Caenorhabditis elegans: one gene and its partner. The protein of the gene in region 1 purifies or fractionates together with the protein of each later gene. This does not show direct contact. Each region holds a gene or a part of one and is shown in the gene's direction. Other genes may lie near its edges. The genes, in order: cpt-5 and rbm-25.

Evidence for each region.
Region 2: the proteins of cpt-5 (region 1) and rbm-25 purify together in Caenorhabditis elegans (affinity purification with mass spectrometry, with the first as the bait; one large-scale study listed by BioGRID). This does not show direct contact.

The regions. Positions count from the first base shown.
Region 1 is NC_003283.11:13,871,360-13,876,406, forward strand, and holds cpt-5 (Choline/carnitine acyltransferase domain-containing protein), read left to right. Parts: upstream 1-1,835; 5' UTR 1,836-1,841; coding exon 1,842-1,931; intron 1,932-1,999; coding exon 2,000-2,407; intron 2,408-2,454; coding exon 2,455-2,742; intron 2,743-2,787; coding exon 2,788-2,981; intron 2,982-3,096; coding exon 3,097-3,769; intron 3,770-3,817; coding exon 3,818-3,952; intron 3,953-3,999; coding exon 4,000-4,188; intron 4,189-4,235; coding exon 4,236-4,466; 3' UTR 4,467-4,529; downstream 4,530-5,047.
Region 2 is NC_003283.11:12,496,502-12,504,381, forward strand, and holds rbm-25 (RRM domain-containing protein), read left to right. Parts: upstream 1-1,711; 5' UTR 1,712-1,791; coding exon 1,792-1,831; intron 1,832-1,903; coding exon 1,904-1,962; intron 1,963-2,010; coding exon 2,011-2,115; intron 2,116-2,163; coding exon 2,164-2,319; intron 2,320-2,374; coding exon 2,375-2,435; intron 2,436-2,752; coding exon 2,753-2,887; intron 2,888-2,997; coding exon 2,998-3,092; intron 3,093-3,234; coding exon of another isoform or gene 3,235-3,267; intron 3,268-4,773; coding exon 4,774-4,874; intron 4,875-5,163; coding exon 5,164-5,731; intron 5,732-6,062; coding exon 6,063-6,585; intron 6,586-6,688; coding exon 6,689-6,879; intron 6,880-6,925; coding exon 6,926-7,015; 3' UTR 7,016-7,204; downstream 7,205-7,880. Other genes in the region: W04D2.4 (C2H2-type domain-containing protein), read right to left, coding at 1-229, 610-821, 867-1,133, 1,185-1,253; T28H10.1 (L-aminoadipate-semialdehyde dehydrogenase-phosphopantetheinyl transferase), read left to right, coding at 7,304-7,473, 7,521-7,696, 7,748-7,877.

The DNA.
Region 1 (5,047 bases):
AAATACACTAAGGATATGTTTGCTGGAGATGGTACCAATCGATGGTTTGATAAAACAATGAATTTCGCAATTGACGAGACGGGAAGAGGTGGAGATACAGGAGAACATTCACCTGGTGATGGTGCAGAAATGGGGCATATGTGTGAAAACTTATTGAATATTGACAAACAAATCTTGCAGTCCCCGAGCAAAGAAGAACAATTGGAGATTGCGACTGTCGCTGAGCAAGATTTGAAATCATTGAAATTGGCAGTAAAACTTGATTTTGAAGTAGTTGATGAAATGGAATCGGAAATTGAAAGACGCTATGAAGCTCACATAAAAGCTTTTAATGATGTTCATATGAATTCCATGGTGTTTTTGGATTTTGGAAAAGGAAAATTAAAGAAATGTGGAATTTCTCCAGATGGATTTGTGCAAATGGCTATTCAATTGGCTTATTACAAGGTAAACACTATTTTTTGTTCTCTGTTTTTCTAATTAAAAGTATATTTCAAATTGAAGGACCAAGGAAAATTTGCTCAAACCTACGAATCAGGATCGATTCGATTCTATGCAAATACACGAACAGAAACTTTGAGACCAGTAACCAAGGCTTCATGCGAGTTTGTAAAGGCAATGTTGAATGATGAATTGGATGTAAGCCTATTTATTGGAGAAAAATAAATAAAATTGACTTTCAGAAAGTTTCACGCCGGAAATTGTTGAAAGAAGCATGCGAGCTGCATGTGAATAACCGTAAAGAAATTATGCTAGGAAAAGGATTTGATCGTCGTCTATTTGTATTGTGTGTTCTTGCTAAAGGACTGGGGTACGAAAGCCCGTTCCTAGATTTTTATCAGAACTAAAAATGGCTTATCAGTACTAGTAATGTATGTTTACTTATTTTATGAACTTATTTGATTTATGCATCATGAGACGCAATTTTCAGGCTCCCACTATGACGAATACAATCGATGAAGATTCCTCAAGAAACAATATTATTCTTGGTGGATCATTTGGAGCGGTTGCTCAAGATGGATATGGAATTTGCTATCGATTCGGTGGAAATCAAGCAATTCCTCTTCATATCACTTCATATCATTCTTCTGATGCCACAGATTCTGATAGATTTGGGAATTATTTAAAAGAAGCTTTTCATAGTTTGGTGGATTTATTTGAAAAATAATTTACTTTCCTACAAAGTTATTTGAAAAATAAATATTTTTTCGAATTGGAAAATAGAAAAAGGCACATATTAAAAAAATAATTCATTACCAAGAAAATAATCCCAAGTTTTGTTCAGATTTTGGAACAAGGCCTAAGTCCATTAAAAAGTTTTATCTGCTGAACTTAAAACCAATATGAAGGTAAAGGAAGGAAGTATGAGAACATTTTTAGATCGTTTTTTCGGGTTTGGCTCTATTTGTTGTGTTACTTAGTCTAATCATAAGCTTTGAAAGATTCATATAGAAAGGAGGCAGGTTTTTAGATCTTGTTTCAGTAAAAATTAAGATCAATGCCAGTTTTTTTTGGTTTTAGACCCTCTCGAAGGTCAAGAAAAACAGTTATGAAACTTGGGAAGGATTAAAAATCTTCCATGTTTTAAAGCAGCACATGATATCGCGGAAAATTATTCCTTTTATACATCACAAAGTAGTAGCTCTTTGAGCCGATGCTAGACTACACTATTTTATCATTTGCGTGCAAAGCTACTAGGAAAAAAAACGAAAGAAACGAACAAAGTCAATAAAATGTAGCATTAAGTGTAGCCAGGTGGTTTCTATAAAATGAAGATCGAGAAATGAAATGTCGTTTTTCTGTTTACTTTTTTGCTAATAGATTGAAATTTGCAGTGAAAAATGTCATCAAATAAAAAAAAATTTGAATGGCCGTATCCAAAAATTAATCATTTTCCTGGAAGAATTGAACGATTCTCGTACCGAACTTATGTAAGTTTTCAGTAAAAAACTTTATATTCAACATGTCAAATTAATTATTTATTTGTGATAACTTTCAGAACTGGTTTGAAAACCGCCTTTGGCCAATCAGACCAATTCCATTTCTGGCCCTTGTCACAACTGCTACTGGTTATCAACTGAGAAACTTTAGCCTCCCAGACATTCAGCAGAACATTCAAACGATTGTGAGGCCCCTTGCGATTTCTATAGGATCTGTGTACACTTCCGTATTCCTTCTTCGTCATTTCCTAAAATATTTTTATTTTTCTTACAAAGGATATTTGAAGGAGAACCCAAAAAAACCATCTTTTTTTACAATTTTATGGGGTATTCTCAGAAAAGCAGTCCTTACAATTGCACCTCCTCAACTGTCGTCTTGTGACCGACTACTTCCTAATATTCCACTCCCTGCTCTAAAAAACACAGTGAAGCAATATGTGGATTCAATGCAATTAGTTTTATCAGAGGTAAGTTTTCAATAGTCTGTACACTCTTCAATGTACTCTCTTATCAGGAAGATCACACTGAACTGATCAAGACATCAAACCAATTTTTGAAAGAGGAAGGACGGAAATTACAACGATGTGCATGGCTTTGGCATAAGCTTAATGAAAATTACATAACCTATTTTTGGGAAAAATACATCTACAATGCAGGGCGATATGCTCTACCTATTAATAGTAGTATTGGACAATGTGTTATGTACGGAGAAGATGACTTGACTCAAGTGTACCAAGTTGCCAGATTGTTGCGATATGAGTCGCTTGCGAACTTGTCCTTGGACCGGCAAAAGTACATGGCAGTAAGTATCTGTTAACGTGTGTTTTGAACCCTTTTTTCGAATTAGGTTGGGGAAGGTCTTCTATCTACCAGACATTATAAAAACATTTACAATGGATGCCGGGTACCTGGAAAAGAAATTGATCATTTCCAATGGAATCCACCGAGCAAGCATGTACTTCTGGTACACAAAGGTACTTGGTACAAAGTGGATACTTTTGATCGAAACGGAAAATTGTACAGTGTCGATAATTTGGCAAAGTAAGTCACTTTCGTGAACATTAGATAGTGGAAGTATTTAACGCATCGTAATTTTCTTTAGTTAATTAATTTATATTATGACTACAAATATTATGGCTACTTTCAATAATTTCAGAATTGTTTCGGAAATAATGCACCGACAAGACAAGGCAGATGGATTCCTCTCAAAAATTGGAAGTTTAACTACTGATCGCCGGACTGAATGGAGCATAAACCGGGAAAAGTTCTTCCTAAATAACAAGAATAACAAAAAGTTATTGGAGATCATTGAGACAGCACAATTCGTAGTAGCGATTGACGGAACTAATCATTGGGGAGTTGAATCAACTAAACAAGTATCTCGGTATATGAAAGATATGTTGGCTGGAGATGGTACTAATCGATGGTTTGATAAAACTATGAACTATGCTGTTGACGAGACGGGAAGAGGTGGGGCTACTGGAGAACACTCTCCTTGCGATGGAGCTGAGTTAGACCACCTTTGCGAGAATTTCTTGAACATTGACAAACAAATCTTGAAGTCCCCGAGCAAAGAAGAACAATTGGAGATTGCGACTGTCACTGAGCAAGATTTGAAATCATTGAAATTGGCAGAAAAACTTGATTTTGAAATAGTTGATGGAATGGAATCAGAAATTGAAAGATGCTATGAAGCTCACACAAAATCGTTCAACGATCTTCATATGCATTCCATGGTGTTTTTGGATTTTGGAAAAGGAAAATTAAAGGAATGTGGAATTTCTCCAGATGGATTTGTCCAAATGGCAATTCAGTTGGCTTATTACAAAGCAGGCTTTAATTTTAAAGATTATTAACAAACTTATCTTCATTTTTAGGATCAAGGAAAGTTCACTCAAACATATGAACCAGGTTCAATTAGATTCTACGCAAATTCAAGAACAGAAACTTTGAGACCAGTAACAAAAGCGTCTTGTGAATTTGTTGAAGCCATGCTCTCGGATAAATCTGATGTACGTATACAAAAATATGTTCAATTCGATAAAATTTTGATTTTCAGATAGCCTCCCGCAGGAAGTTATTGAAAGAAGCTTGTGAAGTTCATGTGAATAACTGTAAAGAAATCATGCTAGGAAATGGATTTGATCGTCATCTATTTGTACTATGTGTTCTTGCAAAAGGACTTGGATACGAAAGTCCATTCCTCAATTTCTTCCAAAGTCAGAAGTGGCTTCTGAGTACCAGTAATGTATGTTTTCCGAATTATTTTTCGCAAATATGTAGATATTTTTCCAGATTCCCAATATGACAAACTCGATTGATGAAGATTCTTCAATTGACAAGATAATGCTTGGTGGTTCATTTGGAGCTGTAGCACAAGATGGGTACGGAATCTGTTACCGATTCGGAGGAAATCAAGCAATTCTTGTTCATATTACTTCGTATCATTCATCAGAAGTCACAGATTCGGATAGAATGGGAAATCGGTTGAGAGAAGCATTTCATAGTTTGGTTGATTTATTTTAAACTGTTTTTTTTTCAAACAAAGTTGTTATTCTTTTTAGGACAGAAAAAATAAAAAAGTTCATCGCGTTCAGTTGACTTTTAACAAAGACATTTTTTCTCAAGCTTTTAATAACAATAGAAAGATAAAGACGAATACGAACAAAGAGCTGTTACGTAGCTGCCTCAAGAAGGTGACTGAAAAGTTCAAACATCTTTAAAATCAAGAAATTTGTGTTTTGAGCATACATGAGCAACATGAAACACTTCAAAACAATTAATTCAGAAATTGAATACAAAAACTGAAACCTATGACTGAAAATATATTCTCGAAAATTAGTTCACGAAATGGTAAACGAAATTTGGTTGTTCCGAATAAGATTGTATAAAATTGGGTTGGAAATCCGGAAGTACAATTTATACAATTATATACCCGTGTGAGGTACATAGATAGAAAAAATACAAATTGAGGGTAAAGTAAAAGGGTCGTAAACCAAGCAGTTGAAAACTGAAAATGCTTGAAAAATTTCACAAAATTTGTAAATCTATGAAAAGGTTCACAAGGTTTAATACTCGAGAGTCACATAATCTTCATAAATTGTGAG
Region 2 (7,880 bases), 1.4 Mb from region 1:
GCACGAAACTAATAGAGTCTTCAACTCATCGGTATCTACAAAGCAAACTCGCTGAGCATAAATGTTGTCTGCAGAGATGCTGAGGAAATGATGCCGTAAAAATCCAATAATTTCCATAGGAGAACTCTGTTCCATTTGCTTCTGAGCAATTATATACTTAATGACATTGGGGAGCCGCATCCGTGCGTCGTGAGCGTAATGATCACCACAAAATTCCGCAGACACATGTCTGAAAATAAAGATAAATTTGTTTATTTTTCAATTTTATTTCAAAGCAGAGGCCCCACGAAAAGGGGAGCAGAACGAAAAGAGGATCTGCAAAAAGGGGATCTGCGAAAAGGGGAGCAACGAAAAGGGGACCTGGCACTGTGCCAAACGCACAAAACACTTTTTTATTCTCATTCAACGCACGACTTTGTTATAACCACACTCCGTTGTGACGCATCGCGCGTTGTTTAGCGTAAAATACAAAAATAATGCGTGCGTTGAATGAGAATAAAAAGCGTTTTGTGCGTTTGGCACAGTGCCAGCTCCCCTTTCCGCAGATCCCCTTTTTGCAGATCCCCTTTTCGTTCTGCTCCCCTTTTCGTGGGGCCTCTCAAAGCATACCCATCATTATGTTCTGTTGCATGAATAAAAGCAGTACACGTGAATCCTAATCGAAATGGTCCTGTACGATCATTGGCTGTATTCTTATCACTACTCACATTGCCACTTCGATTGCATGCCAAAAAAATTCCTTTTCCACGCCCACGTCGTTTTGATCCCGATTTGTGTCGAAAATGAGCACCACCTTCCGACTCTAACCAGAATCTGAACCGCTGAAAAATTAATAATTATCAAATGTCAAATTTTAGATCTCCTACTTCAAATGTAGCACGGTCCGGGAATTCCATTGAATGAACATCCGGAAGAACGTCGTGCTCAATACGCAAATGACTGTGGAACTCAGGTCTCGTGATAAATTCGGAACTACACAATCCGCAACAATAAAATCTCTTTTTGAGTTGAGGATGCGAAACCATATTATCGCTTTGATTACGTCCACATCCATTATTCTTGTGATAATCGATCGTTCGAGAGGCAATCAATTTGTTGCATCCATAGGGGCATATATAACGTGGTTGTTGAGGCTAAAATAGTTCATATTAATTTGCTAAACACATTGCTGAAAACAGACATACTTTTAATTCCATGTAAGCTTCCACATGCATGTCATCTTCAAGATGATGATCATCGATATCATCAGTCATTCTGAAATTATAAATATCAACAATACATAACTAAATATTTCAAAAAATGAAATATAATTAGGACGTTTTATAGAGAAAAATAAGAACATGAAAGCACAGCGTTAATCATTTTTTATTTGAATGAAAAACAGTCGAAGGACAATCGGTGTCAAGAGTAGTTGCTGACGCAGAAGTGGTCACGAGAAATGCGCAAAGGAAAATCGATAAATTTCGTCTGCGCGTTTCAACGTATGCAATTGTTTAGAACAGAATCATCGCATTAATTTTTTACATTTTATATTAAAATAAAACCTTTACCTAAAACCTTTGTAAAACCTTTGTTTTATTAATTATTTGCATGTTATTATATAAATTTCGTTCCACAACACAATCTACTGTCGCTGAAATTGTTCTCTTGATAGTTAGGTGATAATTTATTTTCTCTTTTTTCTTTTTTACTCATTATCTTTTCTGGTCTAACTCTTAATACATTGCCATGCTCCACAACTTTTTTGTTTCAGGAAAAAATCGAATTTAGGACTTCGTTTTTCTCACGACCATGGCTTTCAGACAAGGCTATGGAGTGTCTTCGTACCCTCGTGAGTTTATTGCCTCGAGGCACTTTCTCAGTTAATCTTAAGAAAGTTTTTGTAGAAGAGTTTATTTTTCAGACTATCCACAACAACAACAGCAAATTGTTTTCGGACAGATGAGAATGCCGGGCCAGCACGTAAGCTAGTTTTTTCATGTAAAAAATAATTTTTTGTTTTATTTTCAGACGCCCGCGCAGCAATCAAGCCAACAAAAACCAGATTCGTCGCCAGTTTTTGTTGGAAACATATCCGATAAATGCAGCGATGAGTTCATCCGGAAAATATTAAACGTAATTATTACATTAGTTTATGGAATAAAAATTAATAAATTTTTACAGGAATGCGGTAATGTTGCGAGTTGGAAACGCATTAAAGGAAGTAACGGCAAATTGCAAGGTTTCGGATTCTGCCATTTCACAGATCTCGAAGGAACTCTACGAGCGCTGCGCATTCTTCACGAATTTCATTTGGGGGACAAAAAACTAACTGTAAAGGTTTGTTGAATAATGTTGTTTTCTAATCCCAACGCCAAAAGCTCTATGATTACAGCCTGACGAAAAAGTGCGTGATGATCTACGCAAAAATGCTATTGAAAATAGGAAGAGACAAGGTAAGAAATGGGTTTTTGACAGTTGAAATGTTTCATTCTAATCGATAAATCTCTTGTTTGAAGCATTATTTGCATCATTGGTTAGGTAACACCTTGTCTTTTGCATGTTTCCACGTTTTATGTTTACCGTATCACATGCTTGTAATAACCAAAGCTAGCATTTTTCACTGTTATGATTTTCAAAAATTGTTTGTATGTTTTTTTCTTTTGTCTCACTTCTCATAGTTGGAGAAAATAGCAAATAATTGTGAGCTCGATCTAATATGCCCAGTAGAAAACCAATATATCTGGATTTACCTATAGTTTCTAAATTTCAGGCAAAAAAGAACTGAAGTTAAAGCATGACGAGCTACCTGCAGACGAAGATGATTTGAAAAAAGACGAAGAAATTCGATTGAAAATACTTCATTGGATGGAAACTGATCACAAGGAACTATTTTCAATCACTGAAGGTATAACTTTACTTTTTAAAGGTGGAGTAGAGAAAAATGAACCGTAATGACCAAATATAACTGCTTTTAAAAACTTTTAAAACAATTCGTAACAGTTTTTCTGTTTCCAGATGGAGAACTCTCTGACGAGACCAAGAAAGTCAAGGGACATGATAGTAAAATCGAAAAGCAAACCGTGCCAAGTTCGTCTTCAAATCCAAAAAAGGTGAGTAATAGCTTCTGACGTGTATCCAACGACATGAGCCTTTCCATGGCTCTCCGCTGATATGAGAGGTGACTAATAGTTACAACCACTTTTAACATAAAATTTTAATTTTATGATCATTTTGACTATTCTATATAGGAACATGTATAACCAGCCAAGAATCGGAACACGATACGTAAGTTTTGACCCCATTTTCTTATATTTTTTAATATATATATTAAAACCTAAAAAGTCAATTATATGTAAAATGAGCAAATACACGAACCACATCAATATAAAAATTAATGATCACGTTAAATATGAAAAATGAGTAAATGCAAGAGTCCTATGTTCTAACCAACGCACAATATTCACAAAACTACGAAATTGAATATCGAGTAAAAATTTATGTTTCTAAATCTCACATTTCACCTTTGAAATGCATGTGTGAGTGTGCCAATTAACATGTTTCAGATTAAGCTTTTGCATGCTTTTCCCTTCTTTCTCTCTGCCAACCTCTTCTATTTCACACTCATGTCTTTTCTGTCTCACAGTCTATATTTTTTACGTTCCTCAAATATATTATCGCATTCCTCAGTTGTGTATCTCGGTCCTTTACTAATCATTGTTGGTGTGCAAAATATCAAGTAAAACTACATATTTTCTCCAGCAGGTACCAAAATGTTCCAGATTTTCTACAGCTCCTCCACTCATCAATGATTTTTGGTGGTATGTTGTTGAGTGAATATACGTATGCTTTCGATGTGTGTATGTAACCCCCCGTCTCCCCCACCATTTTTGTTCGAGAAGCCATATAAATTGCTCTGTCGTGCCTCTCATTGGGGAATTGCACCCTTCTTCTATTCCCATTCTTTTGTCCCCAGTATTCGTTTTATTAGTATCATCCTAAAATTACTTCCACTTTTGTAGGGAATATGTCAGAGACGAGCACTCCTTCATCTGCGGTAAGACAAGTTTTGCTCTCTATGTTGAAAATAATCATTTTACTTTCTTGTCGGCTTCCTGTTTTTATTTCTAGCGTTTCTCAAATTTTGACTGAAACTAGAAATTATTTGACGTTGTGTGTGTGTGTAATCCCGCACTAATCAACTGCTTCGATTATAGATTATAGAGAATCGTTTTTATCTAACTTTTTTAGCGTTTTCACTCTCAGATTGCAATACATTCACGCATACAACTTATTCTTGGGCTATACTCACTTTGTTCGTGTCTCCTTGTATTGTATTCCAAAATCGAATTTGCAGAAAAAACTGAACTACTGGATTTCCATTAGTTTTTGCCCAAATTTGAGTCGTAAGTCATCATCCCCTCCAGCTCCCTGTTTTTGTTCCGTTTAATTTAAAGACTTGCATGCTTTCTCAGTCACCTTTTTATTTGGAAAATGTTGGTAACCCTGTTTGAAAAAAAGTTGGGTTTTTAATAACTCATGGTGATGGTTTCGAAAAATTGAAGTGGCCTAATATTAAAAGTGAGTACTACTATGTGTATGTCTATGTGTTACATCAAATTCACGAGAAATATATATTCATATTCTTTTTCTCTCACTCTCTTGCTCTCTTGTCCTCTCGCCTATCAAAGTTTTTTTTGAAAAACTCGATAAGAAAATTGCAAAATAAAATACATGTAGACCAAGTGATCTCAAATATAGATTTTAAATTAATTTTCAATAATTGTATTTCAGGATGAACACAAACGAAATCGCAATCGACGCAGCCGCAGTCGCACAAGGAGCCGAGAAAGAACTTCACGACGATCGAGAAGCAAAGAATCGCCCAGAAGCAAGTAAGTGTTTTAATTTAATTTAATTTTTATTTTCAACCACTGGAGTACCGCTGGAATAGTCAAAGGGTGTTGGTTCTTCAATTTTTCACACAAATTAAAAAACGAAAATATTCCGAATTTTTCGGTATTCCGATACTTCAAAAATTTCGATTTTTCGATAGTTAGCTTATAAAATTTTAGTAATTTTTTTCTTTGTAAAATAAATTTATATGCTTTTTTTCGTCAACATAAAAATAATAAAAAAATATTCTTTAAAAAAATGTTTCAATTTCTACTCAATAATTTTCAGGCGATCACGTCGAAGCCGCTCCAGCTCAAATTCATCCTCAGAATCGGACTCATCTTCATCTCGTAGTTCATCATATTCTTCTCGATCCAGGTCACGCACTCCTCAACGTAGCAGAACATCTAAACGACGCCGAAGTAATAGTCATGCTTCAGAAGACAGCGATGATGCAAGGGAGAAACGTGCTTTCAAACAAATGATGCTTGATAAGAAGCAAGCATATCTGGCTCGTCTGAAACGATGGGAATCAAGAGAACGACAAATGTCGAAAAGGTATGAACGAGAGGAACGGAAAGAGAAGGATCGCAAAAAGACACTACAAAAGGAAGGCAAACGATTAAAACTATTCCTCGAGGACTATGATGATGAGAAAGATGATCCAAAATACTACACTTCTTCTCAATTCTTCCAAAGAAAAAGAGACTATGAACGTGAAAGGGAAGCTGATCAAAAAGATCGAATGCAAGAACAGCAAGAGATTGAAGAACTCAAAAGACAAATTATGGAAGAAGCTGCAAATGATGAGAGTATTAACATTGAAGAGGAGGCAAGGAAACGACACAAACTAAAGGTTTGCATTTTTAATTCGTACGCGGCAAGACAAAAATCTTTCGTTTCGAAGCTTCAAAGAAAAATGACTTGAAGTTTCTAAATAGGTCCATAGAACATCGATCTAATCAAAACCTACCGTATAACTAAAGAAGTTTATACACCATTCAAAATTGTTCCTAACTGAAGTTCTCTTCTTTCTTAATTCTGCCATAATTTTGAGTATTTTTTACAGTATGCCTTCCTTCCACGGGTGATATTTCTCTGGGCTTAATAGAATTGCGCTTTACTTATTTTACTACGCTTAGTAGTGATTGGCACAACTATATACATTCAGTAAACCCTATCAAAAGTTTCAGGAAGAAGAAGCAATGCGAAAAATGCGAGCTGATAGTGGAAGTCCAAATCCTCATCAACCACTTGGTCAATCGGCAAACGGAGAAAAGTCTTCGAGTGAAGAAGAGAGTGATAGCGAAAAGACCGATGTCAAAAAGGAAATTAAGGATGAAATTAAAGAAGAACCAATTGATGTAGATATTTCCGAGCATGTAGATCCTAACACTGGTTCGTCTGGTACAAATGGAAATTTCGGATGGAAAGCGATTGGAGATGACTCTTCTCTCAATACAAAAATAAACCGCCCTATAGCTAACGGAAATCAAAATCAGCCGCAAATTAAAAAAGAAGCATCTCCTATTCCAATTGCTCAACGCCTCAGTGGTGTGTTTGGAAATGATGACGATGAAGACGATGTGCATAGCAAAAAGAAGTTGAAACCATTCGAGATCACTAGAGAAGAGCGTATGCAAGTCATGTCAGCTGAAGAAAAAAGAGAGCTGACGAAGCAGATAATCAAAACTATTCCTGCTACAAAAGGCAAGTTATTTCGAAGAAAACGTTCATAAACTTTGAGTTTTTATGGTAAAATCAAAGATATGTTTATTGAAAAAAAAAACATTTAAAACTTGATTTTTTTCAGATGAACTTTTTGTTCATAGAATCGAATGGGATCAGCTAGATGGGAAATGGATGAATGATCGAATTCGTCCGTGGGTGGCTAAAAAAGTCACTCAATTCCTTGGCGAAGAAGACAAATCGTTCTGTGATTTCATCTGTGATCAAATTGAGAAACAAGCGACACCCCAAGAAATACTCAAAGACGTCGCCGTCGTGAGATGATCAATTATTAAGTAAAAATCTAATATATGGAATTCAGATCATTGACGAGGATGCTGAGCAATTTGTGATCAAAATGTGGCGACTTTTAATTTATGAGGGACAAGCCCGTCGTCTCGGAATTACATAACTACTTTCAATATTGGAAATACATTATGCAATCTTTTTACCACTCATCCCCGCCTCTGTATTGAGTTGTTCTTTACTTCAAAGACTCGTTTTACTGTCTATTTCTCTCTCCCTCTCTGGAATTCATTCCAGTGAGCAGCTGACTTAATAATCGCTATTATAATATTAAATTAAATATAGTTTTCTGTGCTATACTTCAAACTGATATTTTTATGAAATGTGGCATCTACCTCTTGATGATTTCTAATTTAGCTCATCCGTCTCAATTTTCATCATAAATTCCAGCGCAATGAGCTTAAGATGGGCAATATCGCTGGAAGAAACGATAACTTCATCTACATTCCAAAATATGTTTAGACGGGCTATTTTGTGTGCATCGGAAAGTGATGTGGAGCAGCAGAGACGGTTTCGATATAAAGAAGATGCATTGGCATGTCTGATAGGAAGATTAATTCCAAGGTTCTAACAAAATGTTATTCGAGTTTGAATAATTGGAAGACATTCAGAAAAGCTGCCACTATATCAATATCTCGTCAGTGGTCAGATCTAGAGTTTAGTCGGAATGAAAATGGAAAACCATCTCTTATTCAAAATAAATCAGACTATTCTCGTCAAAACTTCGAATACAACGTATCGCATCATGGTGATCTAGTTGTATTAGCTACCGGAGATACTAGAATAGGTTTGTACTAATGTTTTGAATTTTGATCTTATAAAGGCAAAATTATTTAAGGTGTCGATGTGATGAGAGTTAATGAAGCTCGGCGTGAGACTGCTAGTGAACAAATGAATACGTTGAAGCGACATTTCAGTGAAAATGAAATAGAAATGGTTAAAGGGGGAGATAAATGTGAACTTAAAAGGTA